Pelodiscus sinensis: one gene and its partners. The protein of the gene in region 2 purifies or fractionates together with the protein of the main gene of each other region. This does not show direct contact. Links are inferred from orthologs where the notes say so. Each region holds a gene or a part of one and is shown on either strand. Other genes may lie near its edges. The genes, in order: SAP30, SINHCAF, ARID4A and BRMS1L.

Region 1 (8,296 bases), on a different chromosome or scaffold from region 2:
TTCTTAAAGATAATACATAAATATTAAAATATTATGTATACATTAATGGAGTGAAAAAAGAGCTCTCTTCCAGTCCTTGGACAAATTAAAATTGGAAAAATTGTATTAACAGACTTGGTGGCAATTAAGAACAAGCTTTATATGACAACTTCTAGGACAACTGTTCAGCTACCTCTGGAGTGTCGATGTCTTGCACTGGTGAGTCACCATCATCATCACTGCCTTTTCTCTTTCTTCTGTTCCGCACACTCTGAATTAAGTTTTTGTGGAAGTCACAAATGTAAAGATGTCTTGCCTAAAAATGTAGCAATGCATGTTTTAAATACAAATCCACATCCAGGAAATACATGATAATGTAAATTATACTTGTAGTAATTTATCATGAAGTGGATCCATCAAGAAGCTCTGGTGACATTACCTATGACTTTAAGAAAGCTGTTTCTACCAGAACCCATACTTAAAATTTGGTATGCTGAAAGTTACCACACGTATTTGGCTTAAAAAATCCCTCCTATCATTGTACTACTGCAGTGAACCAATTCAAAGTTGGTATTAACAGGCTGTAGAAAGAGCCAAGTACAGCTCTCTTGTTACTCATCAGAATACAGGAAATAGGATGCTAAAATTACTTTGCAATTATTTTAAATGAACTGCTATCTCACTTCACAACTCTCTTCCTTGGTTTTGCTTCCACCATCCAAGAAAACGCATTGTAAATAAAGTATGTGTATGTCTAGTTTTAAAATTTTCCTTTTTGTAGGAATCAAGCTCATTTTGAGAGGAAAGGCCTGTAGCGGTGACAAAGTATCTTTAAAAATCTGTGAATTTCTTTTACAGAGAAAATATACACATACACATAGGGCTACTGACTGTACATCAGTATCTCACATGATGATTGGAGCTGTGGGTGCACAGGTTGTGGGGAGGAGGATGGCAATCAAGCACTTAGAAAGTTAAATTTGGGATGATAAAAACAAATGAAAAACCTAAATGCAATTTAATTCAACATATAATCAGAAAAAATTGGGGGCCTAAGCTTTTCCTTTTGTTAATGCAGAAGAGCTTTTTTGCCCATTTACAATAGGCTTTAAGTTTACTTCACCAGCTCTCTCATAAACCATGATTCAAGAGAAAGCTCACAACAGCCAACAAAAGCATAAATATAAATTAGCAACCATTTTTCTCCAATCAGCATGAGTTTACTCAATCTCTTGTGGGTGGTAAGTGCAATAAGTGTATTAGAACCTTTCTTTGTGTCAGCATCTCCTAACATTTCTGCTCTGTGAAGTAAAAATAGATCGCCTTGGCAAATACTTGTGCATTTCTGACTGAGGAAACAAGTATTCATTAGAGAAGGAAGCCGGCAGACATTTGCTCTGCAGATAACACTGCTCCCGATCTTCGAAACGTATCTGCTACCAACGGGTATTTATTTCTCAGCACACACCAAGGAAGGGAGCCAGGAGCTCGTGTTGCCTGCACACGGTAACACACGCTCGTGGCGATTTCTCGTAGAGAGCAGTACGAAGAGCCTGATGGCTGCCAAACGGAAGACACGGTGGCCAAGAGAGACGCGCAGCATTACAACAGGCGGCGGAGCGGCCAAGTGTGCTGCTCTCACTAGAGTCAGCCACACAAACACGCATGGAGTCCCTGCTCTGGAACAGCTTGGAGGGGCGGCCGGGGGAGAGGGGAGTGCAGCCTCCAGCTTTCCCAGCAAACGGGGGCAGCCGGACAAACGGCCTCTCTCCGGACTGCCACCCTGATTTTTCCGGAGGGAGCAGAAGGGAAGATGAGAGGAGTCTCCTATCCCCCATCACTGCACAGAAGCAGTTTAAGCTTCACTCTTCCAGCTGACCGCACCAAGGGCAAACCTCAAACGATTTAGCAAAGAAGCTGCTGCCTAAAGTCTCACACTCACGGGGGGGAAGGGGAGGGAGGGAGTTTAAGCCTGTGCGGGAAAGACTCTTAAGGCCGGAGTGGGGCTCCGGGGAGGGGCGAGCGAGGGATTGTGCTGTGCTCCCGGACAGCTGCAACGCGGCGCGTGAAGAGAGACAACAGGACCCGCAAGTCGCTTCCCGATCCCACACCTGGGGGGAGCTCCTACCAGCGGCTGGGCTCGTTCCCTTGGGGGCGTTCGGGCCGGTGACCCCGCAGGAGCAGCCGTCACTGCCTGCCCTAATGCGAGAGGGGCGCATTCCCCGGCCGGCCCGGCCCTGACTGCCACTCACGCCCGCCCCGGGACACCCTGTCTCTGCCCCAGGGGCGCACAGCGGCGGCGGCGGGTTTCCAGTCCTCACTTACACTCTTGTCCAGCTCGATCTTCACCTTCTTCTGCGAGATGCTCTTCTGGATCCTCTTGCTGAAGCTGGCGTTGCCGGCGGCCCGGCTGCACCTCTCTCCTTCCTCTCGCAAGCAGCACAGCTGCCCGGCCCCAGGGCCCGCAGCGCCAGGGGGCCCCGCGGAGCCGGCGGCGGCGGCGGCACCTGCGGCAGGGCCGGGACCTAATCCCGGCGCCGGCACCTCCACGGTGGCGGCTGCATTGGCCACAACAGCAGCAACGACGGTGGTAGCGGCAGCGGCCTCCCCTCCTCTCTGGGTCACCTCCTCGGGGGCGAACCCGTTCATGGCCCCAGCAGCGTCCCTATCCCGGCGGAAGAAATCGCCGACCCGCCCGGGCTCCTCACCCGCCTGCGCTGCCCCTTTGTCCGGCAGAGGAGCAGGATCCGTCCTCGCCGCCTGGGCTGAATCAAACTTCCCCGCTGTCTGTGCGCTTGGCTGCAAGGGAGGGATTTAAACCTGCCCCATCAGCAATCGGCCCGACAGGCAGCGTCGCTGCAGGGGGCACGATCCTCCTCCCGGCCTGAGGGTCACCTCCGTCCCCGTGGCCCCCGGCAGACAGAGCCCCGCAACAGGGGGCACAGCCCCTCCCCCAAGGGCACACAAGGGCTCCTTCAAGGGGCACAGCGAGATCGCTGCTCGGCCCCCTCCACTCGGGGCCCTAGGCTGTTGGGGGGCTCCCAAAGGCGGCCAAGCGCCTCACTCTGCAAAAGCCACGTCCGTCCCCCGGGTCACCCCGCTTCCTCCTTCCCCCTCTGTCATGTGGAGACTTTTCAGCTGTTTCCTATGTAACAACAGCAGCACCCAGCCTGCGGCTCCGCTCCGCGATGCGCATGCGGCCTCCCGCCTCAAGGGGCTCATGGGCGCTGTAGTTTCTATCATTGCAGCGTCGGCAAGGGCGGGGAGGGCTGAAAAACTACAGCCCCTGAAATGCACCGCGCGAGCCGGGCTTGCGGGCCTGGAGGGCCGCTGTAGACGTTTGTAAGCCCGCCCCTCCCCTCTGCAATGTGATGGGGGCGGGGGGAAAGGGGGTGACTGAGCTCTTCGCCAGTGAACTGCCGCGTCTCAGCCTCCTCCTGGGTCTCCCTCGCGAGGGGGCGGGGACCGCAGGAGGCGGCTCCGCGCTGCGCTAGGCCCACTTCTCGCTCAAAGGACGGTCCGAGCGGCCGTTGAGATTTGAAATGCGCCTGTTTGGAAGCTGAAGCGGAGCCGCTCGCCCCAGCCCCGCCCATATCCCTCAGCGCCGCTGCCAAGGCGGCTCGGCCCAGCCCGCCCCATCTCTGCCCCCTTGGGTTGGTCTGACAGGCCGGGGGGAGATGCTGCGAGGCAGAATATTGGGGGAGCGAGCGAGGCCTTGCGTGAGAGGCGGGGAAACGCCTGGTACCACCAGGCAGCGTTGTCGCCTCTCCCCCTCGCCTCGGCCATGTTTGCGCGCGGACGCCTGGGCGGGCTGCAAAGCTCCCTTGCTGCGCGCGTCCAGGGACGCGAGAAAAGCGGTTCCCCTGCCCCTAGTTTACCACCGGTGGGGTTTTGTCTCCCACAAGGGCGCTGCGTGCCAGGATAAGCAGCTGCAAGCCGGAGGGCTCGGAGCGTGTTGTTGCAGCTGCGTGGCTTGCCGTTGGTGAGCGCGTTTCCCCCCAGGCCTGCCTGCCATGGCGCACAGAGCTAGCTCGCCGTGGCAGGCTTTTAGGCGTTTCTGCAAAATCTTATTTTCCTCTCCTTTTGTGACTCTTTTCTTTTGGGATAAAGGCTGGACTACATGTCCCGTTCACCCCTCAACTGCAGACGGGTGGTTCGGACGGGAGTGGTACAAGGAACTTGGGGTGGCACCTCTTCAAATGAGAGCTGGCTGACAGCTCTAAACTTAGCCTGGGATTTTTGCCTGTGTTTACTGAGAATAATTGGTCCTTGCTCTTTGTGTTGTTGATAGCTTTAGATATATAAACATTGGAAAGCAATTAGATAACACCATACAGGATGAAGAATAAGAGTTAATGTTTTTATAGTAAATATTTTATTAAAAAAGGCTTTGGTAGTAACAAACTTAGTTCATTTATTAGCCAGCATTTTTCCTGTATCTCCCTTCCTGGTGGTAGGACCATTTATTTTGCTGTAACAGTTTTCCCTATCACTAGTTTCCAGAACTTACAATTAAATTGTAAATGACCTCTCTATCATGCTTGACAATACTCTAACTCAGACCTGCCTTCAACAGGAGGAACAATTAAAATGGAGGTAATGAGCACAAAGGGTGAAAGCTCTTGTTCAAAACCTAGTTTCTAAACTGTATAGCAAAAGTACATAAGGTTAATAAACATAAGCATCCAACAGTTCAGCTCTCCCTGGTAGAGGGATAGAATGAAGAGCCAAACTTTGACCTATTTTTCTTGATGTGTTTGCAAAGTCCATGGTAATGAGTTTCCTCTCAGATATAGCTTTTATTTTAAAGCCCTGTGAAATTGGGAATCAAATAGTTAAATGCAACTAGGTCATTGAAACATTCATTCAGCTGTATTAATTACAGCATATTCAATAGTTACTGAATCAAAACAGGTGGAGTGCCAGATCAAGGGGTGATCAGAGAAGACATGTTCTGTATACGCTAGGGCTGTCTCTACATTGGCACAGTCTTGCGCAAAAGTAACCGCTTTTGCACAAAAACTTGCTGCCTGTCTATACTGGCTGTGAGTTCTTGCGCAAGAACACTGACCTAATGTATGAAATCAGTGCTGCTTGCTCAAGACCTATGATACTCCCACTCAGGAATAAGCCCTCTTGCACAACTGTTCTTGCACAAGAGGCCAGTGGAGACAGGCAACATGAATTTCATGTGCAAGAAAGCCCTATGGTTAAAATGGCCATCGGAGCTTTTTTGCACAAGAGGGCGTCTACACTGGCACGGATGCTCTTGCGCAAAAGCACATCTCTTGCGCAAAGACACATGCTGGTGTTGACGTTCTCTTCTGTAAGAGTTTTTGCGCAAGAACTCTTTTGCGGAAATCATGCCAGTGTAGACGTAGCCCAGGGCTACGTCTACACTGGCAGCTTCTTGCGGAAGAACTGTTTTGTGGAAGAGTTCTTGTGCAAAAAGTCTTCCACAAGAACGTGTCTACACTGGCATGTGCTTTTGCGCAAAAGCATCTATGGCAGTGTGGACGCTTTTTTGCTCAAGAAAGCTCTGATGGCCATTTTAGCCATAGGGGTTTCTTGTGCAAGAAATTCATGTTGCCTGTCTACACTGCCCTCTTGCGCAAGAGGGCTTAGTCCTTGTGGGAAGAGGAATAACTCTTCTGGAAGAAGCCCTGTTTTCTGACACTGTACTGTAAATTTACTTGCGCAATAACGCGTGTGCAGTGTAGATACCCAGCAAGTTTTTGCACAAGAACAAATGTTCTTGTGCAAGAAGCTGCCAGTATAGATGTAGCCTAGGATTCTGAGTCAGGAAACTGGATTATAACAGTTCGGCTGCATCTAGACTGGCATAATTTTGCTCAAATACTTTTAACTGAAAAGTTTTTCTGTTAAAAGTATTTGCACAAGAGAGCGTCTGTACTGGCATGTGCCTTTACGCAAAAGATTTGTTTTTGCGCAAAAGCATCTGTGCCAATGCAGATGCTCTCTTGTGCAAGAAAGCTCCGATGGCCATTTTAGCCATCGGGCTTTCTTGCGCAAGAAATTAACGTGGCTGTCTACACTGGCCCCCTTGCGCAAGAATACTTGCGCAAGAGGGCTTATCCCTGAGCAGGAACGTTGGAGTATTTGCGCAAGAACCACTGATTTTGTACATTACAAAGTCAGTGTTCTTGCGCAAATACTCGTGGCCAGTGTAGACAGGCGGCAAGATTTTGCGCAAAAGTGGCCGCTTTTGCGCAAAATCATGCCAGTCTAGTTGCACTGTTCCAGTCTGTAGTACACATGGAATTTTAATATGATTATATAACTTAATATTACAGAATATGGTTAAGGTCCTACCTAGACTGGAATTTGAAATTATTGCAGTTATATAACAACTGAAATTCAATTGGGCATGCAGACATATTATATAGAAGGGATATGTCAGAGTTAATAGGAAGCTATGTAACTCTAGTACAGTGGTTCCCAACTGGCAGTCCATAGCAGCTCTGAAGGCCAGGGCTGGAGTATACTACCCAGTGCCTCACCTCCCCCACAGTGGCTGTTGGGAGAAGTGTATCCTGCCCTGCCTTTCAGCCAACCAGCACTGGACGGGCAGGGTCTCCTGGATGCAGAAGAGCAGTTTGCTGCATGGTAGGCAGGGCCACATGGAGCCTGGCACGGCAGCCTTAGAACAGCTATGACCTGGGCAGCAGTGCTCATCTGGTGGTTGGGAGGCAATGCAGGGGTAGGTGATGGGGGTGGAGCTAGTGCTGGAGAGCTCTGGAGGTGGGGGGGGGGGGGGGGTTCTAAGAGGTAGGGGACTGGCACTGGCATCTCAGGGTGAAGCTAATACTGCTGGGCTGCAGTAATTGGTACTCAGTAAGCATCACCTGATAAGGGTGCTTATCAGGTAACTGATTAAGTGGTTACCCATTCACATCCCTAGCTAATATATGGGGTCAGAGTTTGAAAGTGAGATGGGTAAGCTGACAGAATTTCAGTTACAAAAATACAGGATTTCTTTGATGAAGTTTGAAGAAAGTTAAGATGATCTTAATGACCATGTTTTGAAGAAAAGCCATATCAGAGACCAGTATGTGGGCAGTTTGACCTGGTTAAAGTTAGAGCCCAGCTTAGTGACTAGAGTCAGAAATAGGAACCAGGAAATTAGTCAAGGATCAGAGCCTGAATCAGGAACCATCCAAGGGAGCAGAGCCTCAGCAGACTGAAGTGGGACAGGAACAAGGCGAGAGTATAGCTAGAAAGAAGACAACACAGGAATGATGACAGCTGCAAGCATATGTGTTGAGCACTGACCTATCCCTGATGCTGAACTTAAATCCTAGGGTAAACCAAACAAGGCTGACCTGAGGGCTGAACCAGCTAGCACACCGGTGGGCAATAATTATCCCATGATTCATTAGGGTTAGACCCAGGTGAGCTGCCAGCACTTTGTTTACCTGCACCACCCACAGGTACAGCCACTTGAAGATCCCATTCACCACTGATTACCTTTCATGGCCAATGGAAGCAACATGGACCAGGACATTGGTTCCCACAGCTTTCATTGGCTGGGTATGGTGATCCACAGCCAACGGGAGCAGCTGTACATATGGAGGTGCATGCAGGTAAATAAAGTGCAGATAATCTGTGGGAGCTAACTCTGGTGAGCAGCATCTGACTTATTGCCCACCCTTGAGCTAGCACTAGGCTTAGCTGAGAGCACTTACGCATCTTAACAGGCAGGCATACAGAGCAATTCACAAAATTGTCCTTCTGTCTGGCACCATCATGATATGTTGTGTATTTTCCTGCTAATGCAAGGGTAGAATTTTGTGATAACTACAGATCTGTAGCTTCCCTGGGAGACATTTATTTTAGACATTAATTTTAAATGTTCTTCGTGAAAAAAAACACAGAACTGTATCTAATAAGTCTGACTAACTTACAGGTTAATGAAACCTGTTTGATCAACATATTTTGAAAAAGATCTTAGATCTGACAAAAGAACTATATATGTATATATTTACAGTGCATTCATCACTGTGATGTCAGATCATCTCATAGTAAACAAAGAGATCCTTAATTCTCTCCTCCTTCCACTATTATCTATTAGTGGTTTTAGAGAGAAATGGAAGACAGTCACATTCTCTAAAAGTCTTATCTGCTCTCCAATGGGATAAATTCCTCTTCAAAACAAGCTTCCTCATGATTAAATAACACATTTCTATAAATTTATAGTGCAAAACATATGCAAGACACACATCCTTATCCAGAAGTCTTGCTGGCAAACTATTACTTTATATTAGTTGATAGAAAATTATGTAAAATCCATGCATTT
Region 2 (7,673 bases):
TTCTTCCTCAGGGCTAAAATCGTAGCTCCACCGAAGTCAATGACAGGCCTCCCATTGGTATCAGCCAGGCCAGGATTTCATGACACGTTTAACCTGCAGTCTGCCTGGTGCCAATACCGAAAGGTTCATCCTGGCAAAGTTTTGTCCTTGAGCTCGACCCGAGTCAGGGAGGAACTAAACTTAAGGCAAAAGGCCACTTGGGAAGAGGCAGGGGGAAAACAGCAGAGGGCCATTCAGCATCAATGCGCAGCAGCTGTACCGCACTGCCTGCTGGAACAAAGACCACCCACCCCCAGTCACCTCCGCAAGGACGACCTACTTTTCAGAGAGGCCATGATGATCAGGTGGACAAGCCCGAGGGTCACCCGCACGCTCTGGCGTAGGCGTGCCAAGGTGACCAAGCCCCAAACGAGGATGCGCCCCAGGAGAAAGCCCGGCGGGCTGTGGCGCGCTACGGGAAGGCAGGCGGTGGTTTCGGAGAGCACATTGCAAAACAGTGCGTGTCACGAGGTCTCGGCGAAAACGCCGCGGCTCGCCTTTTAGTCAGGGCGAGGCTCCCTTCCCAACTCCTCAGCACCGGGGCGACATGGAAGGCAGGAGTCGCTCCCGGGAAGCGGGGCCCCGAGCTCAGCACTGTGTGCAGGGGATGGGAACAGGCGGCCCGAGCCTTTGAGCGCGTTAGCCGCGGATGCCGTTGAACTAGCCTTGAAGTAGGTTTTAAACCAACCAGGTCTGCCCTCCCCCAGGACTCACCCCGGCGGGGACATCGCATCCCCGCCCCCCCTCCCAGCGCCGGCTGCAAGGCGTGGTGAGCAATCGGGGGTCACAGTGGCGGGCACCGATTTTCCGCACGCCCCAGTGACACTCACTTTCCTATCGCACGCTGTTTGGCTGCGGGTCTTGTCCGGCGCTGGCTGCATGAGAGCCACCAAGGGGCACCCGCCGCCGGCCAAGATCCCGAGAGAAAGTTACCGCAGCGCGCTGCCTGCCAGAACAAAAGGGGCGAAATCGTCCCGTCCCCCCCCCTGCACCGTGCACCACCATCTAGCTCAGCAGCACTTCCTGAGTGGTGCACACGCGCGCGCTTCGCGCTCATGGTGTCCAGCAGGGCCCTGCCTTCACCTCTCCCTGCACCGAGCTGCCGCCGCTGGTTCCTCATGGCTTCCCCCTGACGTAATTCAAACATGGCAACAGTTCCACTTCAAAGGGGGAACCTGCAGACCTCCCATAAACACGCGCACACCCGGGGGAGGACGCCGTGCAAAGAACCTTTAAAAAGGTCTTCAGCCACCCCCAGCCAAGCCGCCTTCGGTACCCGGCGTAGCTTGGAATCCGCTGCAGTGTAGACCCAGCGGAGTGAAAGGCGCTGCCTCCTCCCGCCGGCTTGTAGACACAAACACTCCTGCTCCTCCATGCACGCAGCATGGTCACCTTGCAGGAGCGTGCACGCTCCTAAACTTTAACTCCCCCAAAGTCTTCCAGGCACTAAAAGTCAAGCTCAAAACTTCCCCAAGATACGAAACCTGTCGCAACAACTCCCCCCCCCCCTTCTTCTCCCGCCAGCCGTCCCCTCGTTATTTAATCACAGCCCGAGTTTCGGTGAGCCGACTGGCTTGCAGACACAGTTGCGGAGGTAGCACTGCCTGCAGCACATGCAAGCCCTTTGTTTTCCCTTCAGCCTGGTTTTGCCTACGTGCGGCATCAAGGGTAGGTCGGACTGTTTTGTAGAATGCACTAGATTTAAAGATCACGCTAACTAGTAAGATCAACTAGACAAAACACACACAAGCCCCCGCGAAACGGATAATTTAACTAGAAGTTAAACTGCGTTGGATTCTACACGGAAACATGTTAACTACAAAGAGGAGACAAGAAATGCAGTTAACTTTCGCTCGCCCTCTGCTTTGAAAATGGCAAGACGCCATCACTATCAAATCGCCCTATCCTAACGCTAAAAGGACACCTCTTTTCGATAACAAGGTATTTACAATAGAAAAAGGGTATTAAAAACGAAAGCAAGCCTGCGCACCTAGTAGCACGTGTCACGTCAGCTTGCACACACTGCCTGTCCATTTCAGATTACTTGGAGTGTGCAATCTCGACATCTCTTCTAAAAACAAGCCAACAAGTCGAAGAGAACAGTTTCCCTATTCCCCTCCCGCCCTTACAAAAAAGAGAAAACGTACATTGCCGTTGCAATGGATTGCCCCCTGCCACTCACGACGCAACAACTTCTGTGCGCTCAAAAACAAAGCCACAGGTGTATAATCTGCAACACAACACGTACAAGATCCCGGAGAACGTTCGAAAATGGAACATTTCTCTCTTAACCCTTCCAAACTCAATTCGGTTCTGGAATCCCGAGCGATTTAGGCGCCAGGACTCTCTTTCTTTTTCTCATCATGACATCCGCATCTCTCGCCCAAGCTGAGCAAAGAATGCCCAACCGCGTGCATACAGTAACGGGCCGCAACGGACCTGGGAAGCAGCACCCGCAACAGGCCAAGCTAATCTCACCCCACTTCACACCCCAAGAAGTAAACCAAACAACCCCATGTCCGTCTCTTAAAATTGCTTGACATGACTCTACGAAGTGGAAGGAACTTTACATTTTCTAGCCTCCACCTCGTTACAGAGAGCACTAAGAGTCTTGAGCCATTCAAAACATTCACTAAGCGACGGTTTGATACACTCCCCCTTACTACGGCTCCTGGAAGAATGTCCCTTACACTGATATTTCCCGATAACATCCTGATCTGGACATACAGCTTCTCTAGCCAACCGCACTGCCTGGGATCACTTTTCTAGTTTTTTTCTTCAGAAATTAACTCGCCCTCTCTCTTCGGAAGAAAACATTTTGATTTCACTTGAAGGAAAGTCCCCGGGTGAACTGGATCTGGAACAATGCAAGCGGCATGTTCGCCACAATATAAGTTTTAAATTGATAGGTCTTAAGTTATTTTTTAAAAGGAAGAAAAATAGATTGCCGCACACAGGTCAGCGTGTGTCAAAATTGTTTCGGACAGGAATGTGGCTGCCCTGCAGCTAAAGGGAGCCTCCAAAAACTTGTTTTATTTAACAAAACGCCTGGTTGGTAAACGCAAAAAATCCCCTGAAACCAAAGACGTTTCTCACTTCTTGGATAAAAAAAAACATCGCAGGCGGAGAAAGAAAAATTAAATCACTTACCACTGAATTGCAGCCACCAACAAATCAATAGCGTGGTGCGTTGTGCGCGATGAATCCCCCCTCCTTCGCGGAGTACGCAACCTCGTTGTGTTGCACCCCGAGTCTGCATGCAACTACTGCTGGAATCAGTTCTCATTTGCATAGGTCGCTTTCTTCCCCCTCTTTCTGCGCAAGCGTGGTTCCCACGGCTCAATTCTACTCAATCGAGTTCTTTTGCATATGGGCCCCATTGTCCTTTTAAGGGAGAAAGGGCCGCGCGGGAAGCCTGGGAGGAGGAGGCGGTGCGGCTCATTGTGACGTTGGCGATGACTTCACACAAACAACCCACTCTCCACCTCCTCTCAATGGAGTAGGAGGAGATTGTAGCAAATGGAATCACAACAATGAGTGGTGCGGCTTCTGTGCAGTACTCTTGCGGCGAACCGGCTCAGGTGCTGCAAAGCTTTCCTTTGCAAATTGCTTAGGAAATCTTCTGCCAAATGTCACGCTCAGTCACGACTCATTTCAGTGTGTGTGTGTGGGGGGGGGGAGGTGGATTTTTGTATGTGTAGAGGAACATCGGTGCCTGCGAGGGAGGATTTGGATTATCTTTCAAGCGAGATACTTGGGATTACAGAGGCTCTATGGATACCTGTTTACAAAGAGAAACTGAGGAGCCTGAGATATTTCCTTTTAGAAACCAAAACTAGCCTCCACTACTATCTAATGGGCAGCTAATCCCAGTTTGCTCACTCTCATTTGACAAAGAATTGACCATGTCAAAACTTTTTAAACTGTCTAAAAATAATACCTATCAAAGAAGAATGTCCTCTTTGGGCCTGGCTAGACGGGAACTCAACTGCATTCTTGCACCTCTGGGCCAGAGTTCCCAAACTTTTTCACAAAATAGACCTTTAAATACAGAGACTCTTCCAAGCAATTGCTTAGACTAGAAAGTAATAATAGCAATAGTAAATACTGTACTGTGATCAGTTGGTTCTCTCAGATCCATAGTTTGAAATAGACTAAAGCAGAAGGTTCCCACCTTTGCCAGATTCCTTGCACAGTATCTGTAACCTCAGCACTATCACCCAAAGAGCGAATAGTGATAGAAATGTTAGTCTAGTGTTAGTCTGGTGTAGCTAAAACATAGTCCTGTTTTTTGTTCCAAAGACCGAAGACTTTGGGGATAGTTTTGAGAAACTCCCCACATTTCTTAATCACAGTGCAAAAGTTGGAGGTGAGTCAGGGCTGGCAGTATGGTTGCTCTGGCCACAACTTCTGTGTTTAAAAACTCTAGGGGAATTTATACGTTTGGCTTCCATAAAAAGCCATGGTTTTTGACACACGTGAGCCCATCACTGAGCAGATTCAATGAGAAGACTATGAATGTGGCTCTCTATAAATCCAATAAATATTCTTACTTGTGTATCATAGTGCTGAAGAGCCCTAATCATAGCCCAGGAGTGTGGAGTAGTTAATGGGTTTAAACTATTAGCAAATAATTATGATAGGATTTACCCCAAAAAACCTTTAAAATAAATATTTTGTTTTATAATACTTTCTCTTTAGGTTTGTGAACTTTGTATTTTTTCTACAGCTACAGCATGACAATTTCTGAGGTTAAATATTACATTTACATATTTCATGCTATGCAGGAGTGCTGGAACAATTGTATAGTGGGGGTGCTGAGAGCTATTGAATCAACTGTAAATTCCATATATGATGGAAACCACTTCAAGCCAGAGGGCATGGCAATACGCTCAGCACATCTAGTTTCAGCATTTTTTTTTTGCAGTTTTTTTTCCATTTATGAATATTAGAATTCTCAGGAGCATGTTTTGCTTTTAAAAAAATTAATGATTACTCCTAATTTTGCCTTGTGCAAAACATAACCCAAGTTTTCTCTTTCAAATCTTTCACTCATTTCTGACTGATTTTGCACCTTTGACAGCAGTGATAAAATGTACACATTCAGTGAAAACGTATTCCCCTTGGCAGAAGAAAAGGACTTTCGTTAATTTTAATGTTTTTTAAAAAAATAATATAGGTAAAACAATTTTACATTTAAAATTAGATTAACACACATTTTTGCAATCTTCTTCACACAGACAGCTCAGTAGCAGCCACCCCATGTTACAACATCTGCAGAGTTATGTTGAAATAGATTTCATTTTAAAAATAGCTATTACGTCAAAGACCTAGGTGCCACAGAGAGTGACAGGGTTATAGAGTACCACTTTGTGTCATGGTGATATGAAATTAGAAATACAATTATAAACTACTCTTAAAGTGACACACCCTAATAGTGAATGTGTTTAGTTTTTATTTATTGTATTTAAATAATGAAAAAATATCTATACCAAGCAGTAGTCATCCTGACACAATGAAGATTACAAAATATATGTCCAATTTTTTTTGTTAAAACTAAAATTACAAAATCTAATATGGAATTTGTGATTTTTTTATTTCACTGAAACTGATTTTTTGTTTGGATTTAAATGCTCTTCCAATATTTGCAGTTGTTGAATTACAGTGTATAGGAACCAAAATAAGAGCAACTAGATCCAAAAGTAACTAGCCTGTTTTTGTTATTGAAGATGAAGGGCACAAATTTCAGACACGTGAAAAGTAATTCAGATTTGTATTTTTTAATGATCTAGTAATTAACAAGAGGATTTTAAACAAATATTTTAACCTGCCTGTGACATTTTAAATTATAATGGAAGCTTCAGTTTATTAAATCATTTAACATATTTAAAGTTAAATATATATACACACACAAGTGTTTTCTTGAAGTGGGGCTTACCCCATTCCCACTGATGACAATGGCAAAACTTCAGTTTACTTAAATGAGAGCAGGATTAGGCCTCCAAAGGGACACTGGGAAGACCTAAAATAATTCTTATTTTTGTTTGCATTCTTGACAATAGTCTGGGTTTTTTTGCACATTTGCAAAGTCCTGATAATTCTATGATGTCATTTCCCCCATAAAAACAAATTCTATCCTACAATGACTAAACAGCATAGGCACAAAATACTGTTTATAAAATGATTCAGGGGGTAGCTGAGTTTGTTGTTTTTCCAGTTACAGACTAATAGTCTTGCAGCATCTTAAAGACTAACAAAACATGTAGATGGTATCATGAGCGTTTGTGGGCACAACCCACTTCACAGAAAATTAGTTAAAGTTTGCTTCCTTAGCTAAATGATCAGGATTCAAAAATAAACTGGGGCTCCTTTTGGAAGAAGTGATGGGTGACCTAAAAGACCAAAGAAAAAGTTTGTTTTGAGCAGAAGTGTAATTAATTGGGAAAATATTTATCCAGGAATCACATCTGCAGATGTTACTCACAGAAGCACAGGGTATCCACGTTAATGAAAGTTGCAGGACCAGCTATTTAGGTACACCTAACATTCAAGAGATGATCCATTTTCAGCTGATAAGTCTTGGGAGAAATGTGACCCTTCCTTGGCACAGAGTGGATCAAATGCAACAATTAGTTCTGTGTGTGCAACTAAGAACACAGAGCCTGCGCTTGCAAATGCTTATTTATTATTGAGCTGTTGATACTCATCACCAATTGGTCTATGACCACAGACTCCACTGCCTACTCATTACATTTCACACATTAGTGTTCTCTTATGCTGTCCCCAACCTTTGCCAGGCTACCTTCAAATCCCTCTTCAAAAACTCTTTCCATGATCCCTACACAAAACCTAACACTTAAGCGGATAGTGTGCAGAGACCACCTAGTATACTTGAAGGGTGCGTCTAGACTAGCAAGTTTTTGCACAAAAGCGACTGCTTTTGTGCAAAAACTTGCCACCTGTCTACAATGGCCGCGAGTATTTGCGCAAGAACATTGACTTTGTACTGTACAAAATCAGTGCTTCTTGCACAAATACTCCGACACTCCCATTCAGCGATAAGCCCTCTTGCATAAGTATTCTTGCGCAAGAGGGCCAGTGTAGACAGCCATGTTAATTTCTTGGCCATTTTAACCATCAAGCTTTCTTGCACATCGGAGCTTTCTTGCGCAAGAGAGCATCTACACTGGCACTGATGCTTTTGCACTTTTCCGTTAAAAGTATTTGCGCAAAATCATGCCAGTCTAGACGCAGCCGCAGCTACGTCTACACTGGCAGCTTCTCGTGCAAGAACTCTTTTGCGGAAGAGTTCTTCTGGAAAAACTCTTCCAGAAGAGAACATCTACACTGGCATGTGCTTTTGCGCAAGAACATCCATGCAGCATAGACACTTTCTTGTGCAAGAAAGCTCTGATGGCCATTTTAACCATAGGGCCTTTTTGCGCAAGAAATTCAAGTTGCCTGTCTACACTGGCCTCTTTTGGAAGAGCTCTTGCGCAAGAGGGCTTATTCCTGAGAGGGAGTGTCAGAGTTCTTGCACAAGAAGCCCTGATTTCTACAGTACAACGTCAGTTTACTTGAGCAAGAATGAGCAGCCAGTGTAGACACACGGCAAGTTTTTGCACAAGAGCAGC
Region 3 (7,599 bases), on a different chromosome or scaffold from region 2:
AAGCAAATTTCGTAAAATAACTGTCTTTATAGTTGCATCATGTATTCAAATATACACCCAAACTTTAGTCCTGTTGACCATTTCTTAATTAGGTCATAAATAATGCTCTATGCTGCTTCCCAATATTGCACACAGCCTTATCTTTCTTTACAACAAGATTTGACAGTGCAAGTAAAATGAGTGGTGAAGATTTTTCACATTTAATTATTTTCATGTCCCCAGTTTGCAAGAATGTACTAATAGTCATTAAATACTGAAATGCTATTTAAAATAGCAACTTTAAAAAAAAGAATTTAAATAACTGATGATGAAAAGTGAATAAGAACAAACAATAGTTATGGTTTGTTGCACTATTTTGCAGCATACACAGATCACTATGGCCCAAAGAAATACATCAGTTTTGCCAGTAAATGTCAGTGTATTTGGCTGGCTAAAAAGCTTACATCACACCGAGTTTATGGGTAAATTTTTTGCTCAAAGAATTCTGACCCTCAATTTTATCAGTCTGACGACTGTCTCAGGAATATCTGTTCAATAACCTCAAAGAGAACTGAAGCATATGTTTACAAATAGAGAAAGAAACATTAACATAAGGATGAATATCAACTTAATACATTCATATTGTATTGTTTACAGAAAAGCAATATTTCAATTGGAATGGAAGCTGCACCTCAGACAGCTGCAATTTCAAAATACATACAATAACCAAAACCTTTAGATTTCTGGTTTTTCTGTGAGGAAGAAAAAAAAGAAAAAAAAAGGCAGTTCATGGTGTGCTCCACATCAGATTTTCTGAAGGGAAAAACAGCAGCAACAGATCCTCAGAAAAGTTTGCTATAACCTTTCAAACAAGTATCAAATGTAATTTTTGTTCCTTGCAAGGTCTTTGTTAAGATTTATTTTTCTAAAAAAGATATGCAAGCTTACAATTTTAAGAACATCTGTCTGTACCTGAACATTATTATTGTACATTTTATTTCTACATTACTATGTTTAAAAAAAAACAGTCACAGTAAAAAACAATCAAGAAATGAAGAAATGCAATGACATATTTTGTGTTCAAATTATTTTTGCTCATCTCTGCATACAAGAAGTGCTTCCCTCCATGTGACTGATCTTGCAACTGGTAAGCTGTCTTTGCACTGTAAAAACTGAAACTGCTAAGGAAGGATAAAAACTGTGGTTTTGCAAACTCACAAAAGCTATAGCCAACACAGGAAGCATTTAAAAATAGTACTCCAAGTGACAAGTCAAAGCCATCTTATGTGTCCAGAGTAGTGTTACCACAGAGGTGAGGGATTGGGATTAGGTGCCCTGCACTGAGAGTGAAGAAATGGGATTTCATTCCATTCAACATGTGTGGATTTCCACAGCCAACTTTTACTTTGCTGTTGTTCAATGAAGATGCAGTGATTAAAAATACAGTGGCTGGTTCAAGTAGAAGAGACAGAGCACAAATGCTTCCCCCTCCTCCTCCATCCAAGGACCTAGACTTACCTTCATCTTTGAAGGTTATTTGAGGGATTCCAGCTCAAAGATATCTTCTGACCCTAATTATACTGAAAAAAACCTAGAAAACAAGAGAAGGAAGATGATCAGACACGTCTGCCAGCCTACAAAATTATTAAAAGGAAACAGCTTGATCTTAGGAAAGCTGCAATTCAGCTACAAGCATATGGTAGATTATTAAACACACTCTTCCACATTGTATACACACACCTCCCTCCACCCTAGGAGCACACCCACCCCTTACATCCCTAAAGGAATTCCCTCCACAGGAAGCCTCTGAGCCCCACTTGCTGCCCTGCATGTGCAGCTGGAGGGGATAGCAAGAAGTGCTGAAAAGGGGTCCTTGTTGGGAACAAATGGGCCCTTGGAGGTCTGGGCAAGGAGCCGCTACTACCTCCTTTTCCGTCCCGCTTCGGCTGCCTCCTGCTGCTCCTCAGCCCCTCCGTGTGTCAGGACAAGTCGCCATTGCTCCCTCCGCCTTTGCACCATGTCAGGCAAGAAGAGGCTCCACACACACGCAACGCAGGCAAAAATAATATTACTACTACTATTCCACTGGAGCTGTAAGCGGCTCGCAGCCCAGCTGCTGGGACAAGGGCAGCTCCTGCGCAGCAGAGACAAGGCCCTTGGCCGCCTTCTTCCCCTCTCAACTTTCTCAAGCACAAGAGGAGAGATTACTCAGGAAGGACCTGACCCTCTCCTCTCCACCCCGCCTCCTCCGGCTATAAACGGGGACCGAGGAGTTAGACACCCCCCCACACACACCCGCTGCCTCCCCGACTACCCTCCAGACCCCCCCCCCACACACACACACCTCCTCACAGCCCCTGCCTCCCAGCTACCGCTCGAGCCCCCCTCCCCGCCTCCCGCAAATACCCTTCGACCCAAGACACGACCCAAACCCCGCCGCTGCCGGGCCCCCCTCCGAGCACCCGCTCCCCGGGAGCGAGGGGCGGGGGCGTTCCGGCGGGGGGGAAGCGAGGTCCCTGGGAGCCGAGCAGGGGAGAGCCGAGAGGGGAACCTGCCGAGCCCACCCCGCGCCCGGAGGGGCTGAGGGGGGCGTTCCCCGTCCTCGGGGGATGGGGCGCCCCCGTGCTCCGGGCCGAGAAGGGGGGGTCCTCGGCCAGAGAGGGGAGGAATCGCCGGGCGAGCGGGGGTGGAAGTTCGGCGGGGGAAGGGAGTCCCCGCTCCCCCGGGGGGGGGGCCTCCTCCGTGACTGAGTGAGGGGGGCGTCGATCCGCCGGGTGAGGGGTCCCCGCTCTGCCTCCCCCGGGACGGCAGCAGAGTTGCGGCTGCGGAGCCGCTCGCTGCCCCTTCCCCCCCCCCCTACCTTTAAACTCGGAGCCAAGTCGGGATCTGCCGCGAGCCCGGCCCGGCCCCCAGCCCCGCTCGCGCCAGGCGCCTCAGAGACAGCGGTGGGCAGAGGCAGCGGCCGCTCGGCTCCGCTCCGCTCCACCCCCCTTCCAGCCCGGACTCGCACCGACTCACCAGCGATCAGCCAAATAACAAGCTGTTGAGCAGTAGCTGCCTTGCTCGAACTCCCATTGGCCCTTCGTGACGCCCAGGGGCTCTGCCCCGCCCGGATTGGGCGCCGCGCACAGCCCCCTCCCATTGGTCACAGGGTAACGGCGAGAGCCGATTGGTCAAAAGCCGACGCAGGTAAAGCCACGGAGACTTTTGATTGGTGAATCCGGGGGACTCGACTCAATTGGAAATTTCCGAAGTGAAGTAATCGTTTGCCTCACGCTGATTGGTGCAAACTGGATCCGGATGTAGCTCTGCCTTGCACGATTGGCCAGCGTGAGGGCCAGGAAGAGAGGCGGGGCGATGTGATTGGTGCGGACTGCTTCATAGGAATGCAACGGGGGCGAGGCGGAGCTAGAAGCCTGCAGTAGCGACGGTTGCATAGTTGCGTACCGCGCATGCGCCGCGGTGGGCCTCTCGGGCGCCATTTTGTACGATGTTCTTTCCCATTTTAGGCGGGGAGGACGGGAGCGGGAGTGGTCTCTGCGCTCTCTGGGGGGGAGGCCTGCCCTCGTCCCAAGGGCGAGGGGGCGGCCGGGGCTCCGTGGGACTTACGGCTGCAGACCGTCTTCTCTCCCTTCGGCCGGCGAAGTGGCTGGACTAGTAGCGAGGGGGGAGCCTCTTCCCTTCCTCAGCGCGGTGATGGCGCAGCAGCTGGGGGAGGGGGAAGCTCGGCGAGGCCGACCCCGGAAGTGAAGGGACCTCTGAGGAGCCGCTGGCGGCGGCAGCAGAGGAGGAGCTCGGTGAGAGGGGAGGTGGCAGCCGCCCGCGGTGCTGGCTGGGCCCAGGAGGCGGCGGAGTAAGCCGGTCGGCGCTGCCCCGTGGGGCTTGGGGTTCGCCGCCCCGGCGGGGAGCGAGGCCTGTCGGGCCGCGGCGCCGCTGGAGCGCGCGGGCAGCCCCCGGCTGCGCTTCCAGGAGCGCGTGGACGCTGAAAGCTGCAGCTCGTCACCTCGACGTGGGGCGGGAGCGCCCCAGCGGCAGCCGGCGCGCGGCTCCGAGAGGGTGGGTAGAGCTCGGAGGAGCTGCCTGTCCCGCGGGCATAGTGGTGGTTTGGGAGCTCGCCAGCTGCTGGTTTCAGACGCAGCCGCGTTATTGCACGTGCTGTCGGCCAGTTTCCTACGTGTTGCCCTTGGAACCAGGGCACCAGGGCGGTTGCGTGTGCGCTGTCTCAGTCATACTTATGGTAGGGAGGGGAAGCGTGTTTTGCCTCCGAGGCCGTTTTTCTTGGGGCTGAGAGCTTTTGACCAGTCCAAAGGCAGCTCAGTTTCCTCTACACTAAATAGCAAGCGGTGCGGCTTTTCATGTTTACGTCATTGACTGTTGTTAAAGGGTAGGGACAGGGAAGCTACCCTAATTTGGTGTTGCTGCCAGGAGTATTGGGGTGGGGGTTGTTCCTGGGATAAGGAACTGAACTGACATCTTAGGCTGCCTTTACACTGGTACTTTCATTGTTAAAGCTCTTGTTGCTTAGAAGTGTGAAACTTCACTCTGAACAAAGTTTTAATGATGGAAAAACGTCTTCATGTGGGCACCATTTCATTGGTGGTGGCAGCATTTTCTGCTACAAAACTACCACCCGTTGTTGGAAGTGGTTTTATTGTGTCAGTAGGAGAGGGCTCTCAAATGATAAAAAGCAGCTGTACAGTGCAGCTTACCATGGTTCTGCTGCAGTGGCACAGCCATGTTATCCTGAGAAGCACAGAGCAGACAGCTTAGTTGTACTAATACTCTTTAGATGGCAATGAAATGAAAGGTTGTATTTTCTGCACCCTTAAGTCAAGTTTGGAGTGAATGTTGTCATAAACTGGTTATTTGGAACACTTTCATTTCCTTGGAAACACCAGAATTATTTTGACTCGTTTTATTAGGGGTCACTAACACTTATTGTGTACCAGGAAACTAGATCCATATAACTCTGTTGCTCAGGGGTGTGAAAATCCATATCCTTGGAGCAGTGTTGTTACACCAACTTGACCCATTGTATAGACATGGGAGAATTCTCTTGTCAGCCTAGCTACTGCATCTTGAAGTGGATTACCTATGCTGAAGGGAGAACCTTTTGCTTTGACAGTAGTCATCCACACACCTCATTTTGAACTGAAAGTACACAATCAGCAGCCAAAACAAAAAAACACCATACAGTACTATGCTCTGTATTAAACATAAACTACTAAAGGGAATGTGTAATAAAAAAATACAAAGAGAACTCTTCATTTAAATTAAGGTAGTTAAAAGTAGCATTCCATCTGCATATTACACTTTCAAAGCTGTATTAATCAGTTGTAAACTTTTGAAAACACAAACATTTTATTCAGAGTTAGCAACAACATACATTCCTGAGGCATTTGTAACATTCTAGTGTAGTTCTGTAACTTGTTTTTGGCTGCTGTCCATGTAGTCAATGAACTTGCAAAATGCTGTGTGCATGTGTATACCTGTTAAGCTACCTGAATCAATTCATATTTAATTCCAACAAAGTAGATTTTTTTAAAAATAAACTTACTTTACTTTTAAATGTGTAAAGCATTTTATGGCTTCATATATTAACTTTAATAGATAAAGCACTAAACTGAAAGTCAAGCTATAATGTGAAGTGCTGTCATCACTAAACCTGCTTGAGAGCTAAATGTAATTTTATTAAATGTTTTGCATAATAAACTTGACTTGAGAACACTCCTTCAACCTTCTGTCTAGTGCTTTAGACTCCCATCTTGCAGTGGGCTCTGGTTGCAGGAGTTCACCATGCAGAGTTTATAGAAAGATCAGAGTTCCAGAGATGACCATTATATGCTGAATGCTGCCAGAGGGGCTTGATACCTAATAACCAGCTTTCAAGTCTGTTCTAAAGATTTTGGTTTGTATTGGATCTGAAGCATTAGCAAGACCTGACAAAGGAAAAGTTTCCTAGTTAGGCAGTGTTGCATAGTTTGGATATGCTTTAGGTACTTCAGTAGGGGATAAAAGCTGGTTTTCCCTAGCATCATCGCTGTCATGGAGGGGAACAGGAGGCAATGAGGCTCTGCCCTTTCAATGTAGGAAGAGCCACCTGGCACAGCAGTGTTAACTCCTGGGGGTGGTGCCAGCTGGGATGCCAGGCTTCTCCTACACTTAAACTGCAGAACTGCAGTGGGAGTAGTGAGCACCCTCCCCCTTATCTACTAACAGTTCTGCAGGCTGAATGTCATTGTTTTAAAATCTGACCATTTGGGATAAGGGACTTTGGTTTTTGTCACTTTTCACTTACCTCAGGACAATTTGTTCCCCTCCTCACTTTCTAAAAATGAGGCAAAGAACTGAGAAATCAAATTAGGACAAATTTCTGAAGCTTTCCTTTAGTTACTCCTTGGAGCTTTGCTGTCTTGGACAATTACACAATATGCTTTCTTTTTTATTGAACTGATTATGGACTCTATAGCTATATTAGCAGAGACTTCTATAAGCAATGCCACTGTTTAAATTATTTTTTTAGATTTCCACTTTTGTGTTCAGGCCTAACCCCCCCCCCTCCCCCCCCCCCCCACACACACATTTTAGGCCATCCTACTTAAAAGACTTTCTGGTGGGTTCTACAATTTGTTTCTGTATGTTTTTATTTTAAAGCAAAAAACCCACTTTGCTATATAACTGCAGATCTTTCAAATCTTTGCCACTTCTGAATGCATGGAGGTATGTTGCATGAATTGAGGAAAACAGTCTACTACATAATTCTGTATGCAAGCTATGTAAACTAGTGATGAGGGCCAATATTGGTGCTTGTAAGATGTGTTCTAAAAGCTTGAGCTTTTAAAAATTATAATGTCTTTGCATCTAATCTTGATTCTTACTACAAATTGTTTAATCTGGTAGAAATGAACTTGTGCCTCATGAAGAAAATTTTTTGATTCAATTAAAATATGTACCGCACATACCATGAATTTCAGAAGTCTTCTGTTGCTTGATTTGGATGTAAACATACTCACTTGTGTATTGTAACAGCTGGTGCTGAGCAACTGCATTTCCTGTTACCCGGGGTTGGATTTGTTAGTGTTCAAAATATCTAAAACAGAGGCCACACCTACTTGGCGGCTTAAATTCTGGCATCCACCTTTGAGGGACATGGTTTGTCTTTATTTTCTAGTTTTTCTTAGATAAGAAGCAAACCAATACTATAAAACTGCTTCACACAATTTCAGAGCTAAAATTATTTCACTGGGATGGCAGAAGAGAAATCCTGTTAGTCTTTTACCTTAATGTTGCAATAGAGGAGTTAGCGTCTCCTATCTTGAGTTTTTACAAGTGATTTATCTCTACCAATCGGAAGTAAAGTGCTTCCATAGTTTTTCTTGTACCTGACAATTAGTTGAGTTTTTTTCAGTTCTTAAGTTTTTTGACAGATGTCTTCATCTTGTCTGTGCTGCAGCAAGAATGCAAGAGGAGGTAAAGTTGCATAGGTAACTTAATCTGAGATTGAATAAATGTGCACAAACACTGATGTGTGTGTTTGATGTGGATTTTTCAATAAATTCTTTGTGATCATGTGGCACAAATTAGATTTGGGGGAGGTATAAGAACATACATAGCTGAAAT
Region 4 (7,564 bases), on a different chromosome or scaffold from region 2:
AAAATATTTTTTTTAAATATCCTATCAAGCTCATCCTGAACATTTGCAACAGTTATTCCCAATTATTGGTCTGCCTTGCAGGCATCATAAACATGAAGGGAAAAAAGCACAAACAAACCTCCTACCCTTAACTCCCATAAATACTAGGGATGTAAGTAAGTGACTAATTGAGTAGTCGCCTACCGATAAGCCTAGTCTGCCTTGGCTTATCAGATTACTACTTGACTACTCACTTCTCCCCCTTGCTGACTCAGAGGCAGCAAGTGGGGGGGGGCGAAGGAGAAGGGGAGAGCAGGTGCCAATGCTAGGGGGGGACAGCTTAAAAGCCACTTCCCCCAGCACCATCTCCACAGTGCTAGGGGCGGGGAGGCAGAGGCTCACGCCAGGTCCTAGACCAATCCCTCACTACAGCTCTGCAGTTTAAATGCAATAGAAGCTGGGCTGCCTGCACACCTGGCTCCTATCATATTTAAACTGCAGAGCCTCAGGGCCCCTTATTGACTAATCGTGTAGTCGATACAAATTGTATCAACTACCTGATTAGTCAGTTACCCGCTTTTTAACATCCTTAATATAACTACCCCATCAATTTACTCCTCGGGAGGTCTGCCTCACAAAAGTAGAAAGGCAAACAAGGTGTTAAAATATCTTCCATTATTCAGATGGGTCTCCAGTATGTTTTAGGTTCTAGATATATTTCAGTATTTTTGTAACTATTGCTTTGTTTTAAATTAATCAGCAGCTGTTTACTTTATAAACAGATGTCAAGGGAGTTTAAATCAAGATAAGCAACATCAACTCCAATCATGCCTGAGAATCAGTGGTTCTCTGGACCCTTTCCTTTCTGCACAGCATACTGGGTTGCTTAGATGTGTACTCCTGTCATTTGCTACAATGTGGAATGCACCACCTTGAGATGTGGGAGAATAGTACCCTCCTCCAACTGCAACTAATACAACCATAGGCCCTCCATTTCTATAGCTGCATACATACATACATATTCAAGCAAGTCTGACTTTCCACCAAGCAGAAGACAGAGTTTCACTTATACAATCACACATGAAATCACCCTCATGTTCACCTGGATTTATCATGAACCTCTGACTACCTCACCTGCACTCTGCCAACTAATCCATCTCCACTAGGATTATTGGTAACATTTCAAAACTCCAAATAGCTACAAAGTATCTTTAAAAATACTGCCAGTAGTTTATTATATTCAACTCCCAAAATGTGATATTTCTTCCCTGAAGGTGCATAAACTTGACAAGCACGATGGGTAATAGTCAGTCTTAGAAAAGTAACTGGTTTAGTATCAGATATTTCACTACCCATCATGCAAGAAGTTAGAGACAGGGATATCAAATCCCTCATTTCACAAGATCATTTGTTTCTAGACCTGGGATACCACAAGGTATCTGACATTAAAAATCATCACTTACGCATGGCAGAATTGTTTTGGTAAGTTGGATAGGTTTCTAAAATTTCTTCTCCATTCAAAGACTGAGTGGGGGGGGGGCACACACGGTAATTAGAGCAGCCTGGTTTAAAGGTGGAGATAGTAAAAACAGCGCCAACAGTAAAATTCTGAACTAGCTCTTCTATAAAATGTGGCCAAAACTGAGATACTGGAATGATGAACATAACTTGTGACTTTGACATCCATCACTAATATAGCATTTCTAAACTCAAGGGAGTGAGCTTGGAGGAATCTTGATTCTCAAGCATAGAGTGCATTGATTATCTAACTTCCAGACAACTGTTGATAAAATAAAGCAGCTGAAGTTGAAGGTAAGAATTGGGAATAATTTGTGAGCTTATCAAAATGTCATTTTAGCCAAACCTCCTTCTCTTGCTTTAAAGCAGAATTTGCTATTTAACTCAACCTCGCTTTTTGCTTATTAGAAGCAATACAGTAACTTAAAAAACAACAGAAAAATTGACACTAAGGTATTTCTTTTATTGAACCAACTTATGTTGCTGGAAGGCATATATTATTCATTAACCCCTAAGCTTGTCTGTCCCAACTTGTATTTAGCTCAGACACTCTTGAAGTCCTTCTCCTGACCTGAAGAAGAGCTCTGTATTACTGGAAAGATTGTACTGTCCACCAACAGATGTTGGTCCAATAAAAGACATCACTTCACCCATCTTGTGCATTTCATATCTGGACCACCACTACTATTAACGGATATTTATTGTGATATGTGGTATTTTAAAATTTATACTTATTCTTTGGCAAGTCTTTTCTATGGAACTTTTCATAACAAGTTATCTAGAGTTTCTTTAAACAGTTTCAAAAAGCCTTAAATGGGGAACAAGACAATATTATGCAAGAGTTGGCAAATATACCCTCCCCCCCCCCCACACACACACACACTCCTGGGAGGGGACAAGATGCTACAGTGCAGTAAATGGAGAGGGGAGATTGCGCTTTGCTTCCCATATCAAAAGGTGGGGGTGCGGGATTGAGGAGAAGGTACTATGCAGGGCATGGGCAAAGAAGCTGACAGTGACCCCCTAAATCAAGGAAAGGTAGATAAGGAAAAGCTGTCATACAGGGAAGGAGCAGGATGAAGGTGAGAGGGCATATGTCAGGAAGGGCATATGTCAGAAACTGCCAGAAAGGGAAAGTGCCCCCACATCAGGCAAATAGGGCAAGAAGAAACTGACATGCAGAGGGAGCATGGTAGCACAGCATGTGACCACGAGGTAAAGAGAATGAACGGCGGGCAGGGAGGTATCCTTGGGAAAAGAAGCGCCTCAGAAACAGCCAAGCAGGGAAGAAGGGGAAGGCCATTCCCTTAGCTAGAAGGGACCCATACGCTGCCATACAAGGGAGAAGGGATGTATCCACAAGCTACCATGCAGACGGGACAGGCAGGCCGAGCCCCCAGTAAAGGGTTGTGTGTGTCACAAGTTGCCCAGCAGGGAAGGGGGGGGGGGCTGCACGCCCCGGCTCCTCCAAGGAGCGATTCGGAAGTTGCAGCGCAGGGGAGCCGGGGGCGAGCCGTGGGAGAGGGGGGGGGGCGTGTCGGGAGGGCGGGGCAGACGGTGCCGTACGGAGGGGCGGGGTCAGATGTTGCCGGGTGGGGGCTGGGGCAGACTGTGGCGAAGGCATTAACAGTCGCTTACACCCACACCCCGCGCGCACCGTTATCCAGCGAGCGAGCGGCCGCCCTGCCCCAGCATCTGTAATCAGCCCCTGGTCCCCGGTACCTGAGCTGTCCCCCTCCTCGGACACGGACGAGCTCTCAGTTTCCTCCTCTTCCGAGGAGCTCCCCTCGTTCTCCCCATAATCCACCTCCATCTCATCGTGGTTGTTCTCCTTCTTCTCCCGGGAATGGACCGGCATCCTCCCCCGAGATGCCGCCGAGCGCCGGGACCGCCCTTCCCTCTGCCGCCACCACCGGCAGCTCCTCCCCCTGCCCGCCCCTCAGTAAAACCGCGCCATTCCCGCACGCCACACAACGCAACCCAAGTGCCTGCCGCATGGCTCTTCGCGCCGCTTATTGGTGCATATTGGCCCGAGTGGGCGTGTCCCCCGCCGAACGCAGTTGGTGTGGTTGGCCGTTGCGCGAAGCACTATGGTAATTGTAGTTAATCTGGAGAAGACTCGCTGTGGCTTCATGGACATGGATTAGATAGCGGAGTTGCCAGGCTGAGGCTTGTGAGCACTTTGAATTAGGGAATTTCCATCTTTCCATGGAATCTCCTTTGCAGCAAAGGTGCTGATTTAATTGAAAGACTTCTCGATTGTTACAGTTAATGAATTAGAGCTAGGAATATGCCAGCCCTCGGCTGGTTGCAGCTCTTGTCAGCCTTGGATGAAGACAGCGTGAAATGGTTGGGTTGGTTGACTGGCACTTGGGCAAATGATCATAGAGTATCAGAACCCTACATCCCCTTTTTTTCCCTCCACTCAAGATCCTCTCATCATCTCATCTGAAGAAGTGGGTTTTGCCCACAAAAGATCATTATACTATATATATATATATATAAACTTCAGTTTATTCAAACCGTAATTCTCCAAAATGCTTACAAGGAGTTTTTTGGTATTGTTTTGTCTTTTATCTGCAATTACTTAATTAAGTTTTACTTCAGATTAACTAATACATTTATACCTGAACTAGACAGATCACAAAAATTCATGGCATATCCTAGGCTGAGCCACGACATAAGATTAAATCTCTACAGCTTCAAATTTGGGGTTCAGATAAGAAATGATTGAATAATGGAGGTATCCAGGTGGTTTGTTCAAAACTGATAAACTCCTTGGGAAGGAAGCAGAAGCAGGTAGCAAGGATGGAGGTCAAAAACTAGAGAAGAGGGACACAGATGACTGAACCTTCAGAAGAAAAAACTTTGGGCAGATGAGAAGTAGGAACGGGCACCTAGGAGCTAGCTGTCTCTTCTCCCCACCCAAACTATGTTTTATATTTGCTCTTAAATAAAAGGTCCATATTTTTCCACAGATACATGCACACAACTTTTCAATGGTGAATAAGTTGCATTTCTGGGGATAAGGCCCAAGAGTTTCATTGGCTTCACTTCCGCTGAGACAATCAGTCTTGGACAAGCATTCAAGCTTCTAAATTAAATTATTAATTAATAATTAATAATAACTTGAAACTCACCTTCACCTATTTATCTTAAAGTGGAGTGCTCTGCTCTTTTATCCACATTAATCATTATGTATTTCACTGCTCTTTAAAATTGTTACCCACAACATTGTGAATTACATAATACCTTTCTATACATACCAGAGAAACTGAAGTAGACTTTCCTCCTCTACTTTAGAACACTAATAAGGCAAGATGTCAAAAGAGTTTTGTAACAATGGGATCCATGTAAGAATCCACAATACAACATTTCTCTATTAATTTCAGAGATTAATGTTTCCTTAAATGAGACTGGGATGTATTCAAAGATACTTTGTGAAGTGTTTAGCATCAGCTGGAGCAGGGGTTCTCACACAGAGAGTTCCAAATCACAACTGCAGATAGCTGGTGGGATGGGTAGTAAATAGGAAACCAAGGTTTAAGTATGTGACAGACTTACTAACCATTGTTTTATTAAACTGCAGCTAGAAAGACCTGTAATAGAGTGTAAATTATTACATTTATTAATGAGGCCCACAAGTACTAAAACACATTGATCATGGAAGGATGACAAGGAAAAGTAACAAACACTAAAGCAAAAAGAAAAAAAATCACCATCTTCTGACTCATGTAATACTTCTTGTCTTGTCTGTTTCTCCTTTGGATTAGTATGTACATCTATACAGCAGGGCTAAAGTCGAACTAAGCTACGCAACTTCAGCTACATCAATTACATAGCTTAAATCAAAATAGCTTAGCTCAACTTTAGGCGCTATCTACGCAGCAGGAAGTAGAAGGAAGAACATTGTTCCTTCAACTTCCTTTACTCCTTATAAAATGAGGTTTATTAGAGTTGAAGTAAGAAGTGCTCCAGCTCGACATTATTTCACAATAAAGGCTAATAGTGTAGATGTGCTCTTTGTTATTTTGGAATAATGTCAGTTATTCCGAACTAACACTGCTGTGTAGACATGCGCCAAGAGATGAGCCTATGTAGATATACATGTTTGGAAACTGAACACCTAGATACGTTGGAGGAGTCTGAAGTGCTGTTGAAACTAATCTCCCAATAATCAGACATTTTCCTATCCTGTTGTATTTAGACTGATGCATAATAAGCGATTCAATAATACAAAAAAAATGTTAAACTACCTTATCCTCTGTATTTGTGAACTGCCTAATGTAACTAAAAATAAACATAACAGACCTGGTCTAGACTTAGAAGTTTTCCCATCATAGTTATGTTAGTTAGGGGTGTAATTTTTGCCTACATAACTCAGCTGGTAAAAACCTTAGTACAGCTGTAGCTATACCAGCAAAGCTTCTAATTGCAGATAAAAAACAAGAGGGTTTTGCAATTTAACTAAGTTTAGTATACCTATGCAAGGGAAACCCTCCTAGCAAAGACAATGTTTAAATAAAATACTTTATTAATGGTTACAAAATACCATCAAATTACATTTTATTGCTTTGATATTTTATTGCTTTGAAATCTACTGCTTCTCTTTTCCCACCATAGAATCTTCAGAAAGCAGCTCATCCTCTCAGCCAGGAACATTCAACTGCTATGGAATCTAAAAACCTCATAATTGGGTTCTCTATTCCATTGTCAATCTTCTGTAACACATTCTTGCTTTTCAAATATCCTCCCTTATACATGTTGCTTTCCCTTCTCCCATGGCCTAATCCAAATTCAGCTAGTTCACCAGTCTACACCAGATAAGTAAAAGGCCATTATAGTATTGATCAAAGCCCAGGGGTGGGCAATAATTTTTCCCCGGGGGCCACTGCAAACGTTTTTGAATGTGGCCTAAATGGGAAGGGGCAGGGCTACCCAACCGCCAGACCATGATTGGTCTGGGGATGGAGGAGCCCCTTGCCCCCTCTTCCCACTAGGCACCCATGCCCTGGAAAAGGCTTGGCATGCTTTCCCACCCCTAGACCAATCAGGGCCTAGGGGCGGGAGAGCACAGGAAGCCTCCTCCCGCCCTGCTAGGAGCACATGACACTATGAAGTGCCCTGGGCTCCTCGCAAGGCTGGGCAGGGCGAAGGAAGCTTTATGCAGCTCCCACACCCCCCAGGCCCTGATTGGCCTGCGGGCGGCGGTGTGCACGAAGTCTCCTCTGCTCTCTCCCATCCCCCCTCTTCCGCCCCGTGAGCAGCATATAGCGCTACAAAGAGCCACATGCTTCTGGCAGGGCGGGAGGAGGCTTCATGCTCTCCCCCGCCCCCAGGCCAATTAAGGCCTGGGGGCGGGGATCACACAAATCCTTCTCCGCTCTGCCCCTGCCGCACGCTGTTCGCAGGGCGGGGGCAGAGCGGAAAAGGCATCGGGCACTCCCCCATCTCAAATCCTTAATTGGCCTGGGGGCGGGGAAGCAGCAGAGCCTCCGCAGGCCAGATCCACCTGCTTGGTGGGCCAGATCTGGCCCCCAGAGGCCCTTTTGCCCAATCCTGTCAAAGACCATGTAAATTGAGCAATTAGTTGCCCATCCAAAAGGCTTGTTAACTGAAACATACCACAGTAATGCTCCAGGACACTACATCATACAAAAATGTTATTGCAGTGTTTTGGACTTCTACTACTAGTACTACTACTACTACTACTAATAATGTCATAATTATGGTTGAGAGAAGGACTAGTTAAACCACCTCAGTGGAAAGAACAAGCTTTGTGGCCTTGAAAAAAGATAGAAAATATGTCCATTGTCAATCTCAGAAAGTAGAAGAAATATACTTGTACATGTTAAGTTCTACAAAATTAAAAAGGAGCTTTTGTGATGTTTCCCAGTTTTATATGTACAATTGTAAAAACAGAACCAGAATGGAACATTGCTAGGTCATCTAATCCAGGCTTCTGCATTGAAGCAAGACGAAGTATTATTTAGGCCATCCCTGATAGGTGTTTGTCTAACAAGTGGTTCTCAATATGTGGCCCCTGCATCACTTGTAGCCTAATTAC

The links.
Region 1: the proteins of SINHCAF (region 2) and SAP30 purify together in Homo sapiens (affinity purification with mass spectrometry; 4 studies listed by BioGRID and IntAct, counting the BioPlex papers as one, with this or other methods). This does not show direct contact. The link is inferred for Pelodiscus sinensis from reciprocal best matches to the Homo sapiens genes SINHCAF and SAP30.
Region 3: the proteins of SINHCAF (region 2) and ARID4A purify together in Homo sapiens (affinity purification with mass spectrometry; 3 studies listed by BioGRID and IntAct, counting the BioPlex papers as one, with this or other methods). This does not show direct contact. The link is inferred for Pelodiscus sinensis from reciprocal best matches to the Homo sapiens genes SINHCAF and ARID4A.
Region 4: the proteins of SINHCAF (region 2) and BRMS1L purify together in Homo sapiens (affinity purification with mass spectrometry; 3 studies listed by BioGRID and IntAct, counting the BioPlex papers as one, with this or other methods). This does not show direct contact. The link is inferred for Pelodiscus sinensis from reciprocal best matches to the Homo sapiens genes SINHCAF and BRMS1L.

The regions. Positions count from the first base shown.
Region 1 is NC_134715.1:68,329,359-68,337,654, reverse strand, and holds the start of SAP30 (histone deacetylase complex subunit SAP30), read right to left. Parts: upstream 3,116-8,296; 5' UTR 2,629-3,115; coding exon 2,305-2,628; intron 296-2,304; coding exon 173-295; intron 1-172. UniProt on the Homo sapiens protein: Involved in the functional recruitment of the Sin3-histone deacetylase complex (HDAC) to a specific subset of N-CoR corepressor complexes. Capable of transcription repression by N-CoR.
Region 2 is NC_134711.1:106,423,929-106,431,601, reverse strand, and holds the start of SINHCAF (SIN3-HDAC complex-associated factor), read right to left. Parts: upstream 3,416-7,673; 5' UTR 3,190-3,415; intron 1-3,189. UniProt on the Homo sapiens protein: Subunit of the Sin3 deacetylase complex (Sin3/HDAC), this subunit is important for the repression of genes encoding components of the TGF-beta signaling pathway.
Region 3 is NC_134714.1:11,393,153-11,400,751, reverse strand, and holds the start of ARID4A (AT-rich interactive domain-containing protein 4A), read right to left. Parts: upstream 3,137-7,599; 5' UTR 2,998-3,136; intron 2,992-2,997; exon of another isoform or gene 2,840-2,991; intron 2,291-2,839; exon of another isoform or gene 1,904-2,290; intron 1,571-1,903; 5' UTR 1,504-1,570; coding exon 1,498-1,503; intron 1-1,497.
Region 4 is NC_134714.1:47,685,791-47,693,354, forward strand, and holds the start of BRMS1L (breast cancer metastasis-suppressor 1-like protein), read right to left. Parts: upstream 3,445-7,564; 5' UTR 3,356-3,444; coding exon 3,220-3,355; intron 1-3,219. UniProt on the Homo sapiens protein: Involved in the histone deacetylase (HDAC1)-dependent transcriptional repression activity. When overexpressed in lung cancer cell line that lacks p53/TP53 expression, inhibits cell growth.